2 linked regions of the Arabidopsis thaliana genome follow. The protein of the gene in region 2 binds, or shares a complex with, the protein of the main gene of each other region. Each region holds a gene or a part of one and is shown on either strand. Other genes may lie near its edges.

The links.
Region 1: AT1G10390 (region 2) and AT2G41620 share a complex: the UniProt entries of both Arabidopsis thaliana proteins name them as parts of the nuclear pore complex.

What each region holds. Positions count from the first base shown.
Region 1 is NC_003071.7:17,353,504-17,357,259, forward strand, and holds the start of AT2G41620 (Nucleoporin interacting component (Nup93/Nic96-like) family protein), read right to left. Parts: upstream 1,601-3,756; 5' UTR 1,495-1,600; coding exon 1,393-1,494; intron 1,316-1,392; coding exon 1,224-1,315; intron 1,056-1,223; coding exon 989-1,055; intron 622-988; coding exon 562-621; intron 459-561; coding exon 369-458; intron 167-368; coding exon 1-166. Other genes in the region: TFIIB (transcription factor IIB), read right to left, coding at 2,052-2,185, 2,278-2,354, 2,437-2,525, 2,662-2,792, 2,886-3,015, 3,124-3,148, 3,545-3,756.
Region 2 is NC_003070.9:3,411,168-3,414,923, reverse strand, and holds the start of AT1G10390 (Nucleoporin autopeptidase), read left to right. Parts: upstream 1-2,049; 5' UTR 2,050-2,181; coding exon of another isoform or gene 2,182-2,374; 5' UTR 2,375-2,391; coding exon of another isoform or gene 2,392-2,450; intron 2,451-2,820; 5' UTR 2,821-2,878; coding exon 2,879-2,897; intron 2,898-3,034; coding exon 3,035-3,328; intron 3,329-3,508; coding exon 3,509-3,756. Other genes in the region: AT1G10400 (UDP-Glycosyltransferase superfamily protein), read left to right, coding at 1-55; AT1G10395 (uncharacterized protein), read right to left, coding at 2,182-2,374, 2,392-2,450.

The DNA of each region.
Region 1 (3,756 bases), on a different chromosome or scaffold from region 2:
CCACGAGTTCTTTGCCTGGAGTTGAGGATACTCGAGGACTCGAACCCACCGGCACTAGTTGACCAGCATGAGCCTCTCTGCTTGTATCAATCATATTTGTTTTAGGTAGCATTGATATTCTGCTGAGGCTCTGAAGGAAGTCACGTTTTTCTTTTCTCCAATCCTCCTGTCAAGTCAAAATTCACATTCAATATTTAGCATCCATATCTTTCTAATATATCACTTAGCAAACCATCCACATCCATGAAAAGTCTCTTTACAAAGATAAAAGCATAGTACAAATGTAGAATTGACAAACAACAACATTGCAGAATTGTATCACAGTGACTTATCATTAAATTAAAATTAAAAATAGCCAGAATACAAACCTCCAACACTTTCATCATGTAGTCATTAAAGCTTCGAACATTATCCTTTTGGGCTTCCTGAATAGCTGATACCATAGCCATTTCATGAACCTAAAACAAAACAATAACAATACACATCATATCGACCAATCCTCGCCAAGAAAATCAATCTATATGATGATAGATATAGTAAACCTTGGAGAAATAGAAGTACCTGTTGCAGGTATTCTTCAACGCTCGTCGCCTCAGCAGGGAACACATCCTCAAATGTTGTCTTTTAAGAGTATTCAAAATAAATAAAAACATCACATAGTGGCAAAAAAGAATAATCACATTTGAATAGCAGACAGCAAGCTGAGAGATGTGTAAGCATACAAAGGTGGGACTCCAATGCCTTACAATACCAATAGTCGGACCAAAGACACAGTCAGACAACAGCAAGTGATCATGAATTTGTTTGCTAAGACAGCTAAAGAAGTAGATTCGTTTGACGACATATGAAAAATTTGTTTCACTACAAGTAAAAAGAAAACTACTTACTCACATATTGTACTTTCTTATCTCAAGGAAAAACACACCAATAGACAAAGTAATCCTTGAAGCACATTATAAGGAGAGACAGCTAAGATGAAAAATGTCACCTTGAGCTCGAAAGATTTAAGATCACGAGCTAGTTGCTCTGCATTGATTCCCTCCCGTGCGAGTAGTCTGCAAAATGTCCAACGACAAAAAAGAAAGACAAGAGAATTAACGCTTGCTTTTGGGTAGTAGCTACGTCCCATTTGAAAGCTGAGCAATGAATTCAAGACATTTCAAATTCTTGTTCGCATACAAAACACAATAACAAGTGAATGAGACGGTAAAAATGAGATTAACCTAGTGGCAGCAATAGACTGAGAAGGAGCTTCGTTCCTCAGGGTTTTAGCCTTGAGCTTCTTCGATAACGCTTCCAACTGATCTAAATTTCTCTGATAGTGAAACAGACAAAAATCAATCGAACTAATCTTAAACGATGAACCTCAAAACCAGCGGAAAGAGGAAGAACCTGAAGAGGAGGAAACTGAGAAGAAGGAGCAGCTTGCTCCAGAAGCTTCGACGAAGAATGGAGAAGATCAGTCCAACCACTCATCTCTTGGTCGTTCGCCATTGATTTTGGATTCGAGCTACTACTACGCAGTCGGGGAAGCAGCAAAGAGAGGGTTTCCGTCGGGATTCAAACCTTTTTGATTTATTTTGTTTTATGTTATTACCTTTTACGACTAATTATACTTTTCTGTTAATATATAGAATTTCTTTAAATTCGATAAGAAAAAATAGCTATTTACTGTATTTAGCCCATTTTTAAGAATTAGACAACCAATGAAGACAAATTAAAAAGCCATCAAAAATGCTCTGTAAATCCAAACATATTTTTGTCTCATTTTCTTTTCATGAACAAAGTTTTTTTCCGCTTTGCGAATATTGTATGGGGGAATAAGATTATGAAAAAATTACCATCTTACTATAACAATAATAATATTCCTTTCTTCAAGTTTTTTAACGCCATTACAAGAATCTTAAGCAAAGGACTTCAAAAAAGATTTGAAAAAGAAACAAAAGGCTCTACTAGAGAGAGAGAACAATTGCTTTGTATCTTCCTCAGTCGATATAGATTTATAGATATAGATAGTTCTCTATTGCATATAGAAGAATCAAGAAACGACTTCAAGGACTTGACAGGTTTTTCAGATCCTCTTCCTTTGCATACCAACTTGGTGCTATCTTTGACAGATGTGGATACAAGTCTTTGTATGAATTCCTTATTGTCCCTTCTGCTACTCCTGTCGCATGCGATATATCTGCACCCCACCCCAAATATTAATCAGTCTATGTTTTGTTTAAAACGAATCAATGAGAATAAATGAGACCCGAAAGAATGAAAAAACCGAACCTTTGAGAGTCTTCTTGTCATCAGACAGCTGGGTTATGATATAGATGACTACTGCTGCTATTGATATAGGACTCCTCCTGCAATTTCCCAAAATAAACATCTTTAAGATTCTGCTGTGTTTATCTCCGTCCCGAACTGAGGGAAATAATTGAAATGTACCTTATATCAAATTCCTCAGATTTTTGCACAGCTTCCTGAGCAGCTTTCACCGCATGGTTAGACATTGCAAGGTTGGAGCAGAACCTTCTCTGCAATTTCATCAAATACAGAGTTATGAAACCACGTAGTCAATGCAGCCAGCATAATCAACTGTTTCATAACATAATTAGCACACTCTAGCTAGGTTCTGGTATCAGCAACAATTTTAGTTTTAGACAAACTCACCATGAAATCACCAGCGTGTATAGTTCCTAAATCCACAGACTGACCAGGCTCCAGTCCCAATGTCTTAACAATGTAGTCTTTTGCTCGGCCAATTTCCTTCTTTGTCGCCCCATTGGCAATAACGCATATTTCTATTCACAAGGTTCACGAGTTTGATTGACTTATGTCAAAGCTATATCAAGAGGTAACAAGACTCTCTCAAATGAGAAATCTTTGAAATGTACCCTTAATAGTTCGTGGCTTGTCCTCTTGGCGACAAGCAATGTACAGACAGGCTGCATAAAGTGCATCCTGATTTCTTCCCCTGCTTGACTTCTGATCCTCCAGCCTCTTATATAACTCATTAGCCCGATCCTACATATCACGAAAATCCACCAAAGCTGTAAATGAAATGCTCCAACAGCACATCCTAACATATACATTCCACAAACATATTAAGTTAGCAGAGACGAACAAGTTTACCTTGATAGTTGCAACAAGTCCCAACCTGGAAAAAATATCAACAAGTTAGTGTTCTCTATTATCACAAGGATAATAATGTACATACACAGCAGAACATAAATCTGGCAATGTAAACAAACACTCTAAACAACCAACAGAAACTTCATCCCTTTGAGGAACAGACTAACACATCACGAGCTAAACGCATAAAGTACAAGGAAAGTGAAAACTCTCAATGAAAGATTAAAAAGGAAGCTCCTTTTGTTCTTTAATTGACAATGTAATTTCACAAACGTATGCAAGAGGCGTGATGATAAATCAAAGCAAGTTCATACAAAATCAATCTCCAATAGGATTAAGGATCGTGTGATCTAAACGTTTCAATTGTTTATAAAGTTGCAATCCAATCTCAGAGAAGGTGAGATCTCAAAATGGGGACTACCTTTCAGACATGGTAGCAATGGTTTTAAAAGCTTGAATCAAACCACGATCGGAATTGGAGTTACGATTCTGCCACCTCCCGAGAGAAGAAGACAAGAAATCACCAGATGAACCATTGGGCTTAGCGATAACAGTGGTTAAAGCACTATCAGCGAGAAGCGGGTTGGTTGGACCACCGACACGATTGGGATCGCTGTTGGAAGATTCATTAGC
Region 2 (3,756 bases):
GTCTAGGAAGAATTTAGACAACCTTATCAACGAGTTTTGTAACAATGGAACATGATGATGTATGTTAACACCTATATATTAATACTAGATTTTAACCCGCGGTATATCGCGGGACGATTTATTTTTTAAAGTAATATATATTAAAATTTGCAAATTTTATTATTAATATTTATATTTTACAATTTAAAATTGTTATAAAGTAACGCTATACCATAAATCCATGAGACAATTGTTAAAAAACTGAAGTTTTAACCCCTATTAAAACAGCATATTAATAATATTTTAAAATTTTATAAATATTTATTCAAATACATCTACCATATAACCCAATTCCAAAATAAAACCTGTTCTGTAATTTTTTTACCCGTCCCGTGATTTTTTTTAAAGTAGTAGTTTTTAAAATTGAAGAATTATTTATTATATATAAAAGTTTTGCAAATTGTATCATTCTCTAATACATTTATATTTTATAGTTTAATTTTATATATAGTAACATTATACATACCACATAACATTTTTGGTTTTATATAATCTTTTCTAAATTAGGATGATTTGATATATTTAATATTAGTGGTCTAAAAAATAATAAATTAAAGATTTATTCCGTATTGAAACGGTGGATTAATTATATTTTACTTTTTTATTAATGTTGATTCAAAAACCCGTCCCTCCAAATCCGTCTTGCCAAACAGCCATTTATTTTATTAATATTAATTTTATTTATGATATGACTCTGAATTATAATATAAACATTTTAGCTAATAACATAGGAGTGCACCATATTTATTTAATAGGGGAATGTACCATATGACCTGAATGCACTTTTACCTAAATCTACCAAAAAAGTCTTGTAAAAATATTATAGAGATAAGAAACAATAGTCGGTTTTGATAGTATAAGATTAGCAAATATATTAGTTAGCTTAAATTATTTAAAGAATACAAATTGAAAAGGTATATTACACTTTATTCGAATATAATATCAAAACTTATATAACACAGAGATTATATAATTTTTTAATTGTTAAATACTTTTTTGTGCTAATTTTTATGTGATTAAGATTTAATTGATTTCGTATATAAAATATTAAATTGTTTTACGAACTTATTTGTTTATAATTTGGTAACAGAGAGATATTTGAATATTCAGTATATTTTGCTTTAGTTTAGGAAATCTTTGATGACCCGTCTTTAGATCCAATAAGCCATATAGGTAAGAGATGAATATTGTCTTTAAATGATTCTGGTAACCTTAATGACGTCAATAAAAAATTTTGTTTTTGGTTAAATTTTTCTAATGACATTATCATGTAATTAATTACAAAAATTAAAGTTACATTTAAAATGTACTTCCCAAATAATATAGCAGGATATATTTCAAAGTTGCTATCAGAAACATATATTTGAGCCTGTATTTCGAAACTTGTATAATGTTAAACTAATTTGAGCTTGGATTCGAATCCATGTTTCGAGCTTGGAGTTTTGTGATATGTCGTCAGGTTCAAAAAGTGCACTTATTAATATATATGGGCCTAATACAGGCCCAAAATATGGGTCTATTACAAACCAAAGCATTGTTGTAGTATTGAGACAAAATTAACGTTGGAAACAAAGCATTTTAAACTCTCTATTACAATGGTTGAAAGTAAATAAGCAAAATTTACTGTATTTCCTAAAAGTGAGACCATTTCCATCGGAGTATGTGAATGAGATACTTATCAATTAAATAATAATAAAAAAGAAAATAAATTAGAGAGAAAGAGAAAAAAGTGGATGAACGTTTTTCACAGGAGAAACGATTCTCAGCATTTATTGACAGTTGTCATTTAACCAGTGATTTATTTTCTTCGAACTGAAGCTGTAAATGATGACTAAAACCGCATCCAAAATCGCACCGCAACAGTGCTGTAACAGTATCAAAATCTTTACATATACATATGTATCTATGTATTTTCGTTATTATTTGAACTGCACCATTCGGAAAATATATTGATTGGATTAATTTTTTTTTTTTTGAGATACTTTCTATCACTTTTACCGTGAAGATGCCCTAAATTCAGCAATTAAACACGCAAGCAGGAAGAGAGAAGTCATCATATCATACCAACAAAAAGGGCCAATCGTTCGCTCTTTGCAAGTTGCAACCGTCGCGCTTTCGATTCCGGCGAAATTGCTCCATCTTCTAGTCGCTTTTCAGATCGAGCTCGTCGTTTTCAGGTTCCATTTCTCCTACATCTTCTTGCTCCACATTTGATTCCACGCCGCCTATTCGTTTCTCGGCGATTTCACTCCTGAACCCTAATTTCCTCCACGCAGATAATTTCGACGATCGGAGCTTCCGCTCTTGGTCTCTTGAGAGTCCTTTGATATCATATCTGATTGGTCGAAGAACGTGTGTCCTTGTTCTTCTCTTTTTGACATCGGATTCATAGGTATTTCTTCGAGTTTCATTTCGATTAGTTCCAGCTTTGATTTTATTGCTGGATTTGCTCAAGTTTTATATTCATTTTGCATATTCAATTTCTGAGTTCCCGATGATTTCTAGTTGTGATGTTGCTTAGTTCAATGGTTTTAGAGGTTCGTTAGGTTCCTCATCTCTCTTTCTCTCAGTCATACCTGCTTACAATACACTTTCTAGGTCCTTTGTCTACTACTCTCTGTAGCGCAGGAACCAACTTCTTAAGTTGATGTTGAATTCATAGTATAATTTACGGATGTTTATTGTGTTTGAATTTTTAAAACCAGCTTTTACCGGTATGGTGCTGCTTATGTGCATTTGGTTCTGTTGTTATCTTCTCCTAATCATTGTTCTTTTTTCCAGCTACAGGATAATATAATTTCTTTTGGCTTGGCCATCCGTTGTCAAACTACAGAGGAAGATGTTTGGCTCATCTAATCGTAAGTAATCCTATCTTATTCTTACTTGTTGGTTTCCGAAGCCAAATATTTCGTTATTGTTTTATAGTTTTATGCTATTTATTTCTTTTGTATATACTTCTAAAGAAAATTGACCTTCTGAAACATTGTTCTTATAGCTTTTGGACAGTCATCTGGTACCAGCCCATTTGGGTCTCAATCTTTGTTTGGTCAGACCAGCAATACAAGTAGTAATAATCCCTTTGCTCCAGCTACACCGTTTGGCACGTCTGCTCCTTTTGCTGCACAGTCGGGAAGTTCAATATTCGGAAGCACTTCAACCGGTGTTTTTGGTGCACCTCAAACATCCTCTCCCTTTGCCTCCACCCCAACTTTTGGAGCTTCTTCATCACCAGCATTTGGGAATTCTACTCCGGCCTTTGGAGCATCTCCAGCATCTTCACCTTTTGGTGGTAAGTACCTTTTATGGATTTCATTGCATGGTTTGTTAGTTGCCTCATTGATTTATTGCTTCTCCTGGGTATGAATATATTTTATGTCTTTGGTAGGACAAGGGTTTAAGAATAAGCCCTGTTTAACAGTTTTACATTTGCATTTGGTGATTAAGCTAATTTTATTTGTTTCCTTTTTAGGATCTTCTGGTTTTGGGCAGAAACCTTTGGGATTTTCAACGCCTCAGTCAAATCCTTTTGGAAACTCCACGCAGCAATCCCAACCTGCATTTGGAAACACCTCTTTTGGTTCGTCTACACCTTTTGGTGCCACTAACACGCCTGCCTTTGGCGCTCCAAGCACGCCTTCTTTTGGCGCCACAAGCACACCCTCGTTTGGTGCATCAAGCACGCCTGCCTTTGGTGCCACAAACACGCCTGCCTTCGGT